Linked DNA regions of Xenopus tropicalis. The protein of the gene in region 2 purifies or fractionates together with the protein of the main gene of each other region. This does not show direct contact. Links are inferred from orthologs where the notes say so. Each region holds a gene or a part of one and is shown on either strand. Other genes may lie near its edges.

Evidence for each region.
Region 1: the proteins of hnrnpr (region 2) and ddx5 fractionate together in Homo sapiens (co-fractionation; 3 studies listed by BioGRID and IntAct, with this or other methods). This does not show direct contact. The link is inferred for Xenopus tropicalis from reciprocal best matches to the Homo sapiens genes HNRNPR and DDX5.
Region 3: the proteins of hnrnpr (region 2) and fus purify together in Homo sapiens (affinity purification with mass spectrometry; 4 studies listed by BioGRID and IntAct, with this or other methods). This does not show direct contact. The link is inferred for Xenopus tropicalis from reciprocal best matches to the Homo sapiens genes HNRNPR and FUS.

The regions. Positions count from the first base shown.
Region 1 is NC_030686.2:51,533,100-51,537,366, reverse strand, and holds the start of ddx5 (probable ATP-dependent RNA helicase DDX5), read right to left. Parts: upstream 2,805-4,267; 5' UTR 2,787-2,804; coding exon 2,746-2,786; intron 163-2,745; coding exon 1-162. UniProt on the Homo sapiens protein: Involved in the alternative regulation of pre-mRNA splicing; its RNA helicase activity is necessary for increasing tau exon 10 inclusion and occurs in a RBM4-dependent manner. Binds to the tau pre-mRNA in the stem-loop region downstream of exon 10.
Region 2 is NC_030678.2:82,773,220-82,777,448, reverse strand, and holds the start of hnrnpr (heterogeneous nuclear ribonucleoprotein R), read left to right. Parts: upstream 1-1,424; 5' UTR 1,425-1,622; intron 1,623-4,229. UniProt on the Homo sapiens protein: Component of ribonucleosomes, which are complexes of at least 20 other different heterogeneous nuclear ribonucleoproteins (hnRNP). hnRNP play an important role in processing of precursor mRNA in the nucleus.
Region 3 is NC_030685.2:6,034,293-6,038,581, reverse strand, and holds the start of fus (RNA-binding protein FUS), read left to right. Parts: upstream 1-1,485; 5' UTR 1,486-1,528; coding exon 1,529-1,541; intron 1,542-4,289. UniProt on the Homo sapiens protein: DNA/RNA-binding protein that plays a role in various cellular processes such as transcription regulation, RNA splicing, RNA transport, DNA repair and damage response. Binds to ssRNA containing the consensus sequence 5'-AGGUAA-3'.

The DNA.
Region 1 (4,267 bases), on a different chromosome or scaffold from region 2:
GGTGTCCGTCTCACAACATCTGGATGTTCTTGATAGAAATTCTTCTCAAATTTGGGCAGTTCATCCAGGTTCCATTTCTTCTTCATAAGCCGCTCCCCAGGGTTTCCATATTTGCCAGATGTACCACCTCGGTTTCCCCCAAAGCGAGGACCACCTCCAAATCTGAATATAAGACAAAAGGGTCAATGCAAACAATAAGAACCAACTGGGCGACAAAGCAGACTCCTGGCTTGGTACTGCCCTACTGACAATGGCCATGCAGAGCAGGACAATGCTCTCCGATATGCAAGGGGCCATTCATATGCAGTCACTAAGAATACACAGGAAGCTACAAACTACTCTGCTTTAGGGGGAGATCCCACCATTGGCAAAGAGAAGCCTGGGCTCCAAAGCCAACTCTCAGACAGCCCCAGAGTAAAGTTGGCCATACACACACCAACCTTGTTTATATTCGGTGCGTGTATGGCAAGATCGCAGGAGGCTCCATTAAAGACACCTGAGCAAAATCTATTTTCACGGCTGAATCTGCAGAAATCCTATTGTTTCTACCTCTATCGGACGATTCAGCCCTGAACGTCAGTGGAGGGTTGGAACGATCTTTCGTGCGACCACGTGTGGCCAGCTTTAGAGCAGAGACAGCACACACTGATCAGATGCAACACATATCTGGCAGGCAGTATATTTAACAGAGGTGCGGCCCTCAGCTATTCCATGAGCAGGCACAACAAATGGGCACTGCCAGAAAAAAGCATTTATTTTTAGTGCAGCCAATGCCAGTCCTGGTCCTTTACAGGATTCCATCCTGGCACCTCACTAGGCCCATAATCAGACCCAGAAAAGCCATCAGGAAAATGATAATTTGTTTTTAAGTTAGAAGCATCACCTTCCTTCCCATTACTGCGCAGAACCCCAGGGGAGAGAGGCCTATGCAAAATGGCCACTGAACTGTGCTGGGTATATGCCAAGTAGGTTCCCTGAGGGCATGCCGTGCCAGTGTTACATAAACCGACAGAGGGAGGTGCCAAGTGGTTGCCTAATCAGCAGTGCAAGGAGCAGTTGCACCCAGACTGCAGGTACTGCTAGGTGAGAGCTCTGCCCCAGCATGGGGCAACTGTAGGAGAGTCTATAAACCCAGCAGGGATATTCTGCAAGTACACCTTGTTCCTGGTTACAGGCAGACTGATCATACCCAGGGGACACTACACAGATATGCCAGCAGCGTGCCACACAATAGGGCAGGTACTATGGGAATATACCCAGGCAGACAGATGCCACACAATAGGGCAGGTACTATGGGAATATACCCAGGCAGACAGATGCCACACAATAGGACAGGTACTATGGGAATATACCCAGGCAGACAGATGCCACACAATAGGGCAGGTACTATGGGAATATACCCAGGCAGACAGATGCCACACAATAGGACAGGTACTATGGGAATATACCCAGGCAGACAGATGCCACACAATAGGACAGGTACTATGGGAATATACCCAGGCAGACAGATGCCACACAATAGGGCAGGTACTATGGGAATATACCCAGGCAGACAGATGCCACACAATAGGGCAGGTACTATGGGAATATACCCAGGCAGACAGATGCCACACAATAGGGCAGGTACTATGGGAATATACCCAGGCAGACAGATGCCACACAATAGGACAGGTACTATGGGAATATACCCAGGCAGACAGATGCCACACAATAGGGCAGGTACTATGGGAATATACCCAGGCAGACAGATGCCACACAATAGGGCAGTTGCTATGGGAATATACCCAGGCAGACAGAGGCCACACAATAGGGCAGGTACTATGGGAATATACCCAGGCAGACAGATGCCACACAATAGGGCAGTTGCTATGGGAATATACCCAGGCAGACAGAGGCCACACAATAGGGCAGGTGCTATGGGAATATACCCAGGCAGACAGAGGCCACACAATAGGGCAGGTACTATGGGAGCAGTACCAAAGGAATATACCCAGGCAGATAGCACAAGAAGGTGCAACACAATAGGATAGTTGCTATGGGAATATACCCAGGCAGATAGAGATGCCACACAATAGGGCAGTTGCTATGGGGGAAGTACCAGGGGAATACACCCGGGTAGATAAACAGCTGCCAGGATAAATAGCGACAAAGGAAGATAAAAGAATAAAGCGGCAGGGAGAGGGGAGTGAGGCGGCCCCGGGGAGAGGGGAGTGAGGCGGCCCCGGGGGAGAGGGGAGTGAGGCGGCCCCGGGGGAGAGGGGAGTGAGGCGGCCCGGGGGAGAGGGGAGTGAGGCGGCCCCGGGGAGAGGGGAGTGAGGCGGCCCCGGGGAGAGGGGAGTGAGGCGGCCGGGGAGAGGGGAGTGAGGCGGCCGGGGAGAGGGGAGTGAGGCGGCGGGGAGGCGGCAGGGAGTGAGGGCAGTACAAGTACGGAGGGCAGTACAAGCGCCAGACAAGGCAATAGAAGGAGAGCCCTTCCCCCCCCCGCCGCCATTTTGTGCAGAGACAAAGAGCCGCAACTGGTGCCTCCGCCATCTTGTCTCGCCGAGCCCCGCCTCCCGGGAGCCGAACAATACAATCCATCGCTCGGAAGCCCCGTTACTCATGGGCCCCCCACACACACACATCCCATAATGCCTACCTACCGTACCAGCCGCCATCGGGCGGAAACATTAAGCCCAAACAAACTCCCCACTGGCCTCTGCCAGAAGCTGCCGGCACCTCACGGGGAGACCCCCGAGTACGTACCCCCTGTCCCGGGCGCGGTCCCTGTCGTTGAATCCGGGCATGGCGTTACACAAAGGGCGTTCCGGGAGCGGCTGTACAGACGGGAGGGCTCGGCAGGAAGGGAAGTAACACGCAGCGCGCACACACCTTATATAAGGCCGGCCGGCAACTGACGTCACCATATTCCTCCGCGGGGCGGGGCCTTGACCTACCGCCGCCATATTGCTTCAGGGAAACCTGTCCAACAAGTAGAAAAACCGACCAGCCGCTCGGTGTTAACCTTTTTCCTGGCTTCCGCCCCAACGATATTGCAAACTGAACCGTGAGCGTGGGGCAGCGGCTGCTCCCGCTTTTGTAGCGGGATATCGACCACGTACTGGTAGCGGGACACCGGCCCAAAGTAAAGATGGCGGCAGAGACTAAGCGATGTGACCATGTGACCGGCAATGCGCCTTTTCCCGGAATTTTATTATCTGTGGCTCATGTTAGTCAGTGTGTGTTGCGTGGGATGAGGCAAGGCCAGTAAGGCTGTGTTCCCTTATTAGCCCCGCCAGGCACACCCAATGGGTACAACTATATTGCCTCATACATATACGGGCTACATACAGTCCCCATTAGTAAGTGCTTGAGCCTTCCCGCTCAAGGTTTTGTTCCTACTGCTGAGGAGCCCTGCCAATTCCTCCCCACTGTGTCCCTGCCACTTCCTCCCCACTGTGTCCCTGCCACTTCCTCCCCACTGTGTCCCTGCCACTTCCTCCCCACTGTGTCCCTGCCACTTCCTCCCCACTGTGTCCCTGCCAATTCCTCCCCACTGTGTCCCTGCCACTTCCTCCCCACTGTGCCCCTGCCACTTCCTCCCCACTGTGCCCCTGCCACTTCCTCCCCACTGTGTCCCTGCCACTTCCTCCCCACTGTGTCCCTGCCACTTCCTCCCCACTGCCTGCCCTCCACTTCTCCCCACTGTGCCCTGCCAATTCCTCCCCACTGTGTCCCTGCCACTTCCTCCCCACTGTGTCCTGCCAATTCCTCCCCACTGTGCCCTGCCAATTCCTCCCCACTGTGTCCCTGCCAATTCCTCCCCACTGTGTCCCTGCACTTCCTCCCCACTGTGTCCCCTGCCACTTCCTCCCCCACTGTGCCCCTGCCAATCTCTCCCCACTGTGTCCCTGCCACTTCTCCCACTGTGCCCCTGCCAATTCCTCCCCACTGTGTCCCTGCCAATTCCCCTCCCCACTGTGTCCCTGCCAATTCTTCCCACTCTGTCCCTGCCAATTCCTCCCCACTGTGTCCCTGCAAATTCCCCCCACTGTGTCCCTGCCAATTCCTTCCCCACTCTGTCCCTGCCAATTCCTCCCCACTGTGTCCCTGCCACTTCCTCCCCACTGTGTCCCTGCACTTCCTCCCCACTGTGTCCCTGCCACTTCCTCCCCCACTGTGTCCCTGCCAATTCTCCCCCACTGTGTCCCTGCCACTTCCTCCCCACTGTGTCCCTGCAATTCCTCCCCACTGTGTCCCTGCCACTTCCTCCCCACTGTGTCCCTGC
Region 2 (4,229 bases):
CGTCGCGCTGAGTACAAAAGTTTCGGATTCATTCAAGCTTCAGTATCGTGACTTTCCTTGGGCCAGTTTGGTGCTGCAGAGTGCCATTGAGTCCTATGGGAGGCTTCCAAAATCATGCAAAGTCTGAAAGATTTGCCCGCCGTTTACGAGCGCTCAATACAAAAAAGTCGTGACAATATACGAGCAAATCATAACGGCTACGAAAAAGTCACTACAATTCGCACAAGTCGTAACGGCTACGAAAAAGTCGTAACGGCGACGAAAAAATCGCAAAAAATACGAAAAAGTCGCAAAGTGTTCGTTTCCAATCCGAATTTTTCCCATTCGGATTCGTGGATTAGTAAATGTGCCCCTATGTTTTGTATTTATATTTTATTATTATATTGACATCTGTCTTTTCTCCTAATATTAGGTATAGTGATGCAGGGCACAAGTAACCCTATATAACTAAACATATTCATATAAATATACATCCATATAAATTGTAAATATTACTCATGAATGCACAGAATGTAGTTTTCAAATTCCACCCCTTTTGTGTCACAATTAGCAAATTTTGTATTATTGTTATTATGGGCTAGGCCTGGATTTTGATCACCAGCCCTGGAATTACTGGAACTGACTAATATGACTGCAGACACTGCACAGAGATCATTGTGAGTGATATTAATAGCTATATCTATAAACAGCGCTTACTAATGTAATGTGATAACCTGTGTCACGTTCCTCTGTGAAACTTGTGTATAACAAGCACTGTTCCCTCTGTTGTAAATGTACTGCTTTTAGCAACAGCATTTGGGGTCTCTTATTTGAAAACCCAATGCCCAGAAAAGCTCCACATTATGAGGCCATCTTGATTTTCATTACATTACTTTAAACCCAGGTCCCAAGCTTTCCGGGTAATAGAGCCCATACTGGTATTTATGATATATGAACAACAAAAATGCAATTACACTGCATCACTGCTTGTGAAAGTTGTGGTATATGCAGAGTAGAAATGTCAACGCTGCGAACACTGACTCTCCTTGGCAGCTTTGGTGTTTTACACCCATACATATAACCGTGCCTTTCATCTTTTCATCTAAGCTGTACCCGAATGTACTGCAAGTGCGCATATTTGTACGTACATATATATGTATGCATATGTGTGTGTAAACGAAACTGGACTTAAACATGCAGCACAGACATTATATTGGTACATGCGATATATATTAATCGGTCCAAACAATAGCTCATTGAAAGCCAGCAGCATTGTCTTCCACCCCGAAAAGCTTCACATCCCATTCCTTTCCATCCTTAGCCATCCCAGAGGCAGCTATTTCATTAGCTACAAACTCTCTCGCAATCACCAATCCGAACCACTTCTTTCATAAGTCTGCCATTGCCTATTATGTACTCCGCTTCCCAATTGGCTGAGGTGTAACGCCTTCCCTCCCGCTTATTCGTCTCCTCCTACCCGCAATAGGCTAGTCCTTGGCAGCTGGTGGTGTGGACCCCGCGGCCAGTATTGTTGATTGGCTTAGTAGGGATAGAGAAGGCGGTGGTTCGCAGTCCGTGAGGCGCGCCATTTTACTAGCTCACTGTAACAGCGGGCGTGAGGCAAGAGGGCCATAGCTCTGCAGGTGAGTAGGCTTCCTCTGTTCTCGTTGCGTACGCTTCTGAGCGTCCGGCCACGGTTTCCGCAAAGCTGTAATGTTTGAACCTGAATAGCAGCCAAGTATGACAACCTTCGCCGCCATTGTACTTGTCCTTTTTGCGTTTTAAATTGGAGTAGATGTAAAACTGTATGAACAGTTAGGTGTGTATTCCGCAGTAATGAATACTATCCTTCAGACCTCAATAAAAAAAATCACTGCAAAACAATGTATAATGCTAATGGAATTCCGGAAAAAATATGGAATGGTTAAATGTTCATTGTAGCTTGTTTGAAGGTGTATGCCATTCATTTTAAATGGGCAGCATCTATTGTGTTCAGTGTATGTAGAGGTCCATGACTTGGGTGCTGAATTGCGTTAGGGCACTAACATAGTAAACGGGCTAGTTTTTATGGGCTGTCATTTATTGCATTTGTTAATATATGTGCCCTTTATACTCTTATTTATATTGCATAGTGTGCAATGTTATGTAACTCATAGCTATTGAAAATGTAGTTTCCAGCTTTGTTGGACAGGGCTTTGATATGTGAGGTTTTGCAGCAGCTGTAGAGACACAGTTTAGTCTCTTCTGGCTTGGCACTTGGAATCGGTGTCAGTTTCTAATTGTACAGTTAATTAATTAGTAGCAATTAAAATGATGCGTTAAAATGAAAGTGTTTTTTGTTCTCACTATAAAGGGAGCTAAGCTCCAGTAACCGTTTTGTGTTGTGATTTACCTATCGGTAATGTGGCAAGGAATTTTGCCATAACTTTTGATTGTTTATGGTGGTTGTTTTCTAAACAAAGTAAATTAGTTGTCAGTTGAGAGACCCTGACTGCCTATGGGCGCATGACACAACTGCCTGACATTGTTTAATTTAATATGCTCGCTGAAAATGTACTATAGTGGATAACAGGCGCACAAGTTGGACTCCGTTGGTTAAATGTAAATACATACAGATCTTAAATGGTTCTTATATGTTGCTTCCCCTGCAATTTTGTCAACATAACAAAAAGCCGAGTTGCATTCTAAGATAACTTGATGTTGATCCTCATTTCTTATCTTATTTTTTCCCCAGTTCTGGTGCTCATTTTGAACTATTTGATGCTAAGATCACAGTCCTTTAAAAGCACACCATCAACCCTAAAAAAAATTTAACACATGGAAACTGTATCTAGTGTTTAAGTGATTGGGGTTTAAGCAATTATCTTATTAAAAACCCAGTGATTGTAATTGTTCACCTGCCTGGGTCTCTGGTCAGGTAGGCCCATTGGAGTGCCCCATGGGCAGATAAGCTACCAACTTGGACTATAGGAGCTGAATCAGAAGCCAAAATCTGCCCATGTATGGCTGCCTTTAGTCAATGGATTGAAGATTGTAGAGGCAGGATTAGTAGCCCTTTTCTTTATTACTATATACATTTTTACAGGCTGGGGAGATAAGAAAAATGATGCCTATACTTTATTCAAATGGGATAAGGGCAAAGACACACAGAACTACTTAGTAGCAGCTACTTGTCACCGCTACTAAATGCCAGAAAATACCCTACCATAGACAATACTGAGAATTGCATCTGCTAAACACTCGTAGAGAGGATTATCAGTAAATGTCTGTTTTTGTAGCAGTGACAAGTAGCTGCTACTAGTAGCTCCATATTGCTTCATCTAAAGTGCTGTCAACTTAGCTAATATAGTACCTGTAAGAAATGCTTGGTATTTTACCTACCAAATTAAAATGCTGTTGTGTAGTTATCCCTAGCAGAAGGAATTCTGGGAAGGAAGCCCAGGATTGCTCTTAATTTCTATACCCTATCCTTACCCACTGGGTTTATAAAGCACTGCCAAGACAGTAGGCTGACTGGATTTCTACCCTGGCTGTGCTTTAAAACCCAGTGGTGAGTTTCTGTCTATAGGGTGTGAAATGGAGTTTCCTTTACAAAAAATTCCTTCTGCTTTGCATATGGATGAGGACATCTCTTCTCAATCAAAATTTTTTTTTTAGTAGCTGTTCCGAGTAATATCAGATTTGGTTTCTTGAAAGGGGCTTTTGAAGAGTAGGGAGGTTATGAGAGGTGTTTAGGAATGGCCTGACCATCCTCATACATTGGCAGCATACACGCGGTAATTACGATTTTTCCCACAACCATTGGGCATATGAAAGATTTTTCATCCTCTCTAGTAACGTTAAGAGCTGAATCGTCAGGTATGCAGGTAAAAACAGAGAAATTATTTACCCCATCTGACAATTTAGCATTAACTTTACAATGTTCAGGCCCCTTCAAAATTTTCAGTCCTTGGTGAGACAACTGATATCCAAGGCTTTTACCAGTAGCGGTCGCCTTGTCTCCCACTGTGCGCACACCGATTATCGTACAAAACTTTGTTTCATATGATAATATCTGTGCGTGTATGACAACCTTAAATCTGCAGGTTGAGTTAAGTTTTCATACCCCACTCCACATTCCATACCCCACTGCAACTAATTTGTACAGGATTTCCATTAGTCTTCTACAAGTAAAGTAATAAAAGTAACTCTTTACCTGAATCAGTCATGGTTGCTGTGGTTTACTGCAGTAGTGCATATTTGCCGAGGAC
Region 3 (4,289 bases), on a different chromosome or scaffold from region 2:
TAGATAAAAGATTATAGATAGATAGATAGATAGATAAATTGATAGATAAAAGATTATAGATAGATAGATAGATAGATAGATAGATAGATAGATAGATAAAAGATGATAGATAGATAGATAGATAGATAGATAGATAGATAGATAGATAGATAAATTGATAGATAAAAGATTATAGATAGATAGATAGATAGATAGATAGATAGATAGATAGATGATAGATAGATAGATAGATAGATAATAGATAGATGATAGATAGATGATAGATAGATAGTAGCAAGCTATCAAGACTTAAGGAAAAATGAGAAACAGATGAAAATAGACAGACATATGGAACAGGGGGCATTGCTTGCCTGAAACCCCCATGCTCAGTTCACACATCACAAACCGCTCCCCCCCCCCCCCCATCTCTCAGTCCACTCAAGCTCTTGCTGCTCATTCCTACCAATCAATCCACCTCTGATTGTGCCCCACCACCCCAATTGCACCCAAGGCACGTGCCTCTGCTGCCTACCCCTATCTCTGGACCTGCAATAAATGACAGATAATATCAGATAATGCAGGCATATCGGGCAGCTGCCCAGGGCCCACGTCTCGAGAAGAGCCAAGATTGTCTAGATTATCTAGATTGTAAGCTCTACGGGGCAGGGACCTTTGACTCTTAACTTATTGCAACTGTATCTTTTATTTATTGTTATACTTTGTATTTATCTCTTATTATCTTAATAACCCCCTGTTTGTATTAATGTATTCTACTGTACAGCGCTGGGTACATAAGTAGCGCTTTATAAAGATATACATACATACAAGGGACAAAGGTACTTCTGCACTATTCAGCCATGAAGCTTGGGGGGGGGTAGGAAGCCTCAGCTAATAGCAAAGGTGGCCATACATGCTAAGATTTTTCCCTCCCTAACGACCAATTTCACATTTAGCGATTTTTCATCCAACATTGGTCAGAAAATCCATTGGGCAGGTTTGAAAGCAATAAAATTTGTCCATTGTCCAATTGTATGCAGGGAAATTGTCATTTTCAAACCTGCCCAACTAAATCTGGGCAAGCCTTCTTATTGCAGCATGATGAGGACAATGTATGGGATAAATATACTGATATTGCGGTCTTTGAAAGGAATAAAAAGGGCCCCAACATGACATTTTCATCTGCCCCATCAACTAAGATGCATCTCTCCCTTCACACATCACTTCATAGAATGGCCCCTCCGCCATACCATTCACATAACATACCCAGCACAGCAAGAAGCAACTATATATGTTGCCTCTGCTTTATAGTGCTTCGGGTAAAACTTTATTGACTTCACAAAAACATAACAGAGTTCTGTTTTAAACTCGTTTATCCGGTATTTTAGCCGTCGCTACCTTTCCTCCTAACCACTCCCCCTCTGGTGTGCGTAATGGTTTGTCCCGAGTGCATATAAAGGGCTGCAAGTTCCCCGCCTTAGCACAGTGCGCAGCGGAGGTGATATATCGTGGTTACTAGGCGGTACTTGGAGAACATCAGTGATACCGCAACATGGCCACCAACGGTAAGGAATTACTTGACGTTCGCCCTTTGTACTCGGCTGCTAGTTTTGATATTTTTGTTTCGCGCTAGTTGGGGGCTGTGTATGTATAGTCGGGCATAGTGTATAGGCTTTAATATTTGTTATATGTCTTAGGGTGCGAAGCAAAGTAGTACTCAGGATTAAGATACGAGATCTGCTCGTTCTTTGGCGCCATTTTGCCTTATGTGTATTTTTCGTTGTTTCTATGTATCCGGTATCGCGGATATGTTACTATGCGTGCATCTTGTAGGCTTTCCCCGTTGTATCGGTCCCGCCGCTTCTTGGCTCCTCCCACCATTGTGCTGAATGCGCAGCTGGCAGCCATTTTGTAGCCGCACTGCGCTGCTTTCGCCATTTTGTATCCGGGCGGGCTGGGCGTGTGGGGCACTAATGCGTGGCATTCTGTCCGGATAAACCTTCCCAGAAAACGAGTGTTTTGTGTAGTAACGTTATAAGAAAAAAATCTTGCCTCTGGAAACCATTATCCGTGGTTTAGGGGGAGGGAATCAGTATATTGGTCAATTGCCCACAGGGCAGAACATGAATAAGTCTCTGTAGGGCTGGTAAATGGCTGCAACACTGCTGCCTGGGGGATCTTTAAGCAGATTTAACTAGTAAAGTAAATTCTTGGCTGAGACATAGGGTAAGAAGCGGGTAGATATATATATGTGTGTGTGTATGTGTCTACATATATATATATATATGTGTGTGTGTGTGTGTGTATGTGTCTACATATATATATATATATAGTATACAGGGAGGAGCACACCCTATACAAGTCCAAATGCCCTTGGTGCAGGTCAAAAAACAAAAATATAATAGAAAGAGTGCCGCACACATAGGGACTTGATACAAAAGAAAAAGTGGTTTTATTGAAAAAATGCCAACTTTTCGAGCACAATCTGTGCTCTTCCTCAGTTGGTTTGTCCCTGAGGAAGAGCACAGATTGTGCTCGAAACGTTGTAATTTTTTCAATAAAACCACTTTTTCTTTTGTATCAAGTCCCTTATATATTATATCCCTTATATATTATATATATATATATATATATATAATATATATGTGTGTGTGTGTGTGTATATAGATAGATATATAGAACAAAATAAAGCACACCCTTAAAGAATTCAAATGCCCAAGGTGCTGGTGCCTGCACACACAGGGACTTTACAAAAAATCACAAATTTATTAGAACAAAAAAAGTCCAACGTTTCGAGCACCTACTGTGCTCTTCCTCAGGGACAAACCACCTATATATACACATATATATATATATATATATATATATATATAATATATATATATATATATATATACCGCACTCGCAGGACTTGGTGAAAAAATAAGATACCTTTATTGTGAAACCACGTCAATCTAACGTTTCGGCCGGATCCTCAGCCTTTCTCAAAGTATATATATATATAACAGTGGGCCGCACACACAGGGACTTTGCTGAAAAAATAATAAATTTATTTAAGAAAAGAAATCCAACGAAACCTGGGTGCTAGTACCAAAAAAATGCACTGGAACAAGGCCGGCACTCCTAATATTTAAAGAATTGTGAGCAGTGTAAATATTGAAAGGTTATTACTCAACGTTTCGGTCTCACACAAACCTTCATCTTCATCTGGAGAAAGCTTCAACCTTCACTCCAGATGAAGGTTTGTGTGAGGCCGAAACGTTGAGTGATAAACCTTTCTATATCTAAATTTTGCTCACAATTCTTTAAATCCTAAGAGTGCTGCCCTTGTTCCAGTGTGTATATAATATATATTTTACCCCGCCCCCCCACCCAGGCTTCTTGTATAGGAAACTATGGACCTCAGTGACCTTGTTGTAGTTCCAAGGCCATTAAAGGGACAATAGAGACTTGTGCCCTGTAATTCCATGCACTGGTCTTGATTTAAGAAAAGATCCTGTTTTAATTTAGTGTTGGGTGTGGAAGGAAAGTTTTCCTCACAGGGATTCACTATTTTTTTGGACTATGGCCTGATAAGACTATAAACTGGCCATACATGGGTAGACTTAAGCTGGCCATATATGCACCAACAATATCGTACAAAACCTCGTTTCGTACAATATTCGGTTTGTGTGTATGGCGGCTCGACGAGGCACCCGATATTGCAAAAGGCTGCGGATATCTGTCGACTTGTTGATCGGCCAGGTTAAAAGATTTGTCCGATATGGAGGTAGAAACAATAGAAATTCTACCCCCTTCTGCCCTGAACTGATTTTGCTTTTGTACCTTCAACGGTACCCAAGCAAAATCTAAGTTCAGGGCAGAAGGGGGTAGAATTTCTATTGTTTCTACCTCCATATCGGACAATTCAGCCCTGAACGTCTGTGGACGATCTTTGGTGCGACCGATGGCATTGATGTGCCCCTGTCTGGCCTTAATTATCCAAATAAGGGCCAGAATATCACAATGTAGTTTTGTATGATATTTGGCCTGTGTGTGGTAAGTTTTGTACGATTTTCAGGCTGTGTGGGCTCTACATTATCACCACAATCATTTTTGTACCATGGTGTTCGGTTGTTTAGTCGATCGGACAGGATAAAACATTTTGGTTGGATAAGGATAAAATCTGTGCATGTATTGTGTATGTGCCGATATCCTTGGGGGGCCTACAATGGGAGTCACTTTCATACGGTTGGTGTCTGCCAACTATTTCATGCCCAGAACGCCCTCTGATATATTTTTAGGATTTTATCCTATAATTTCAATCTGCATGT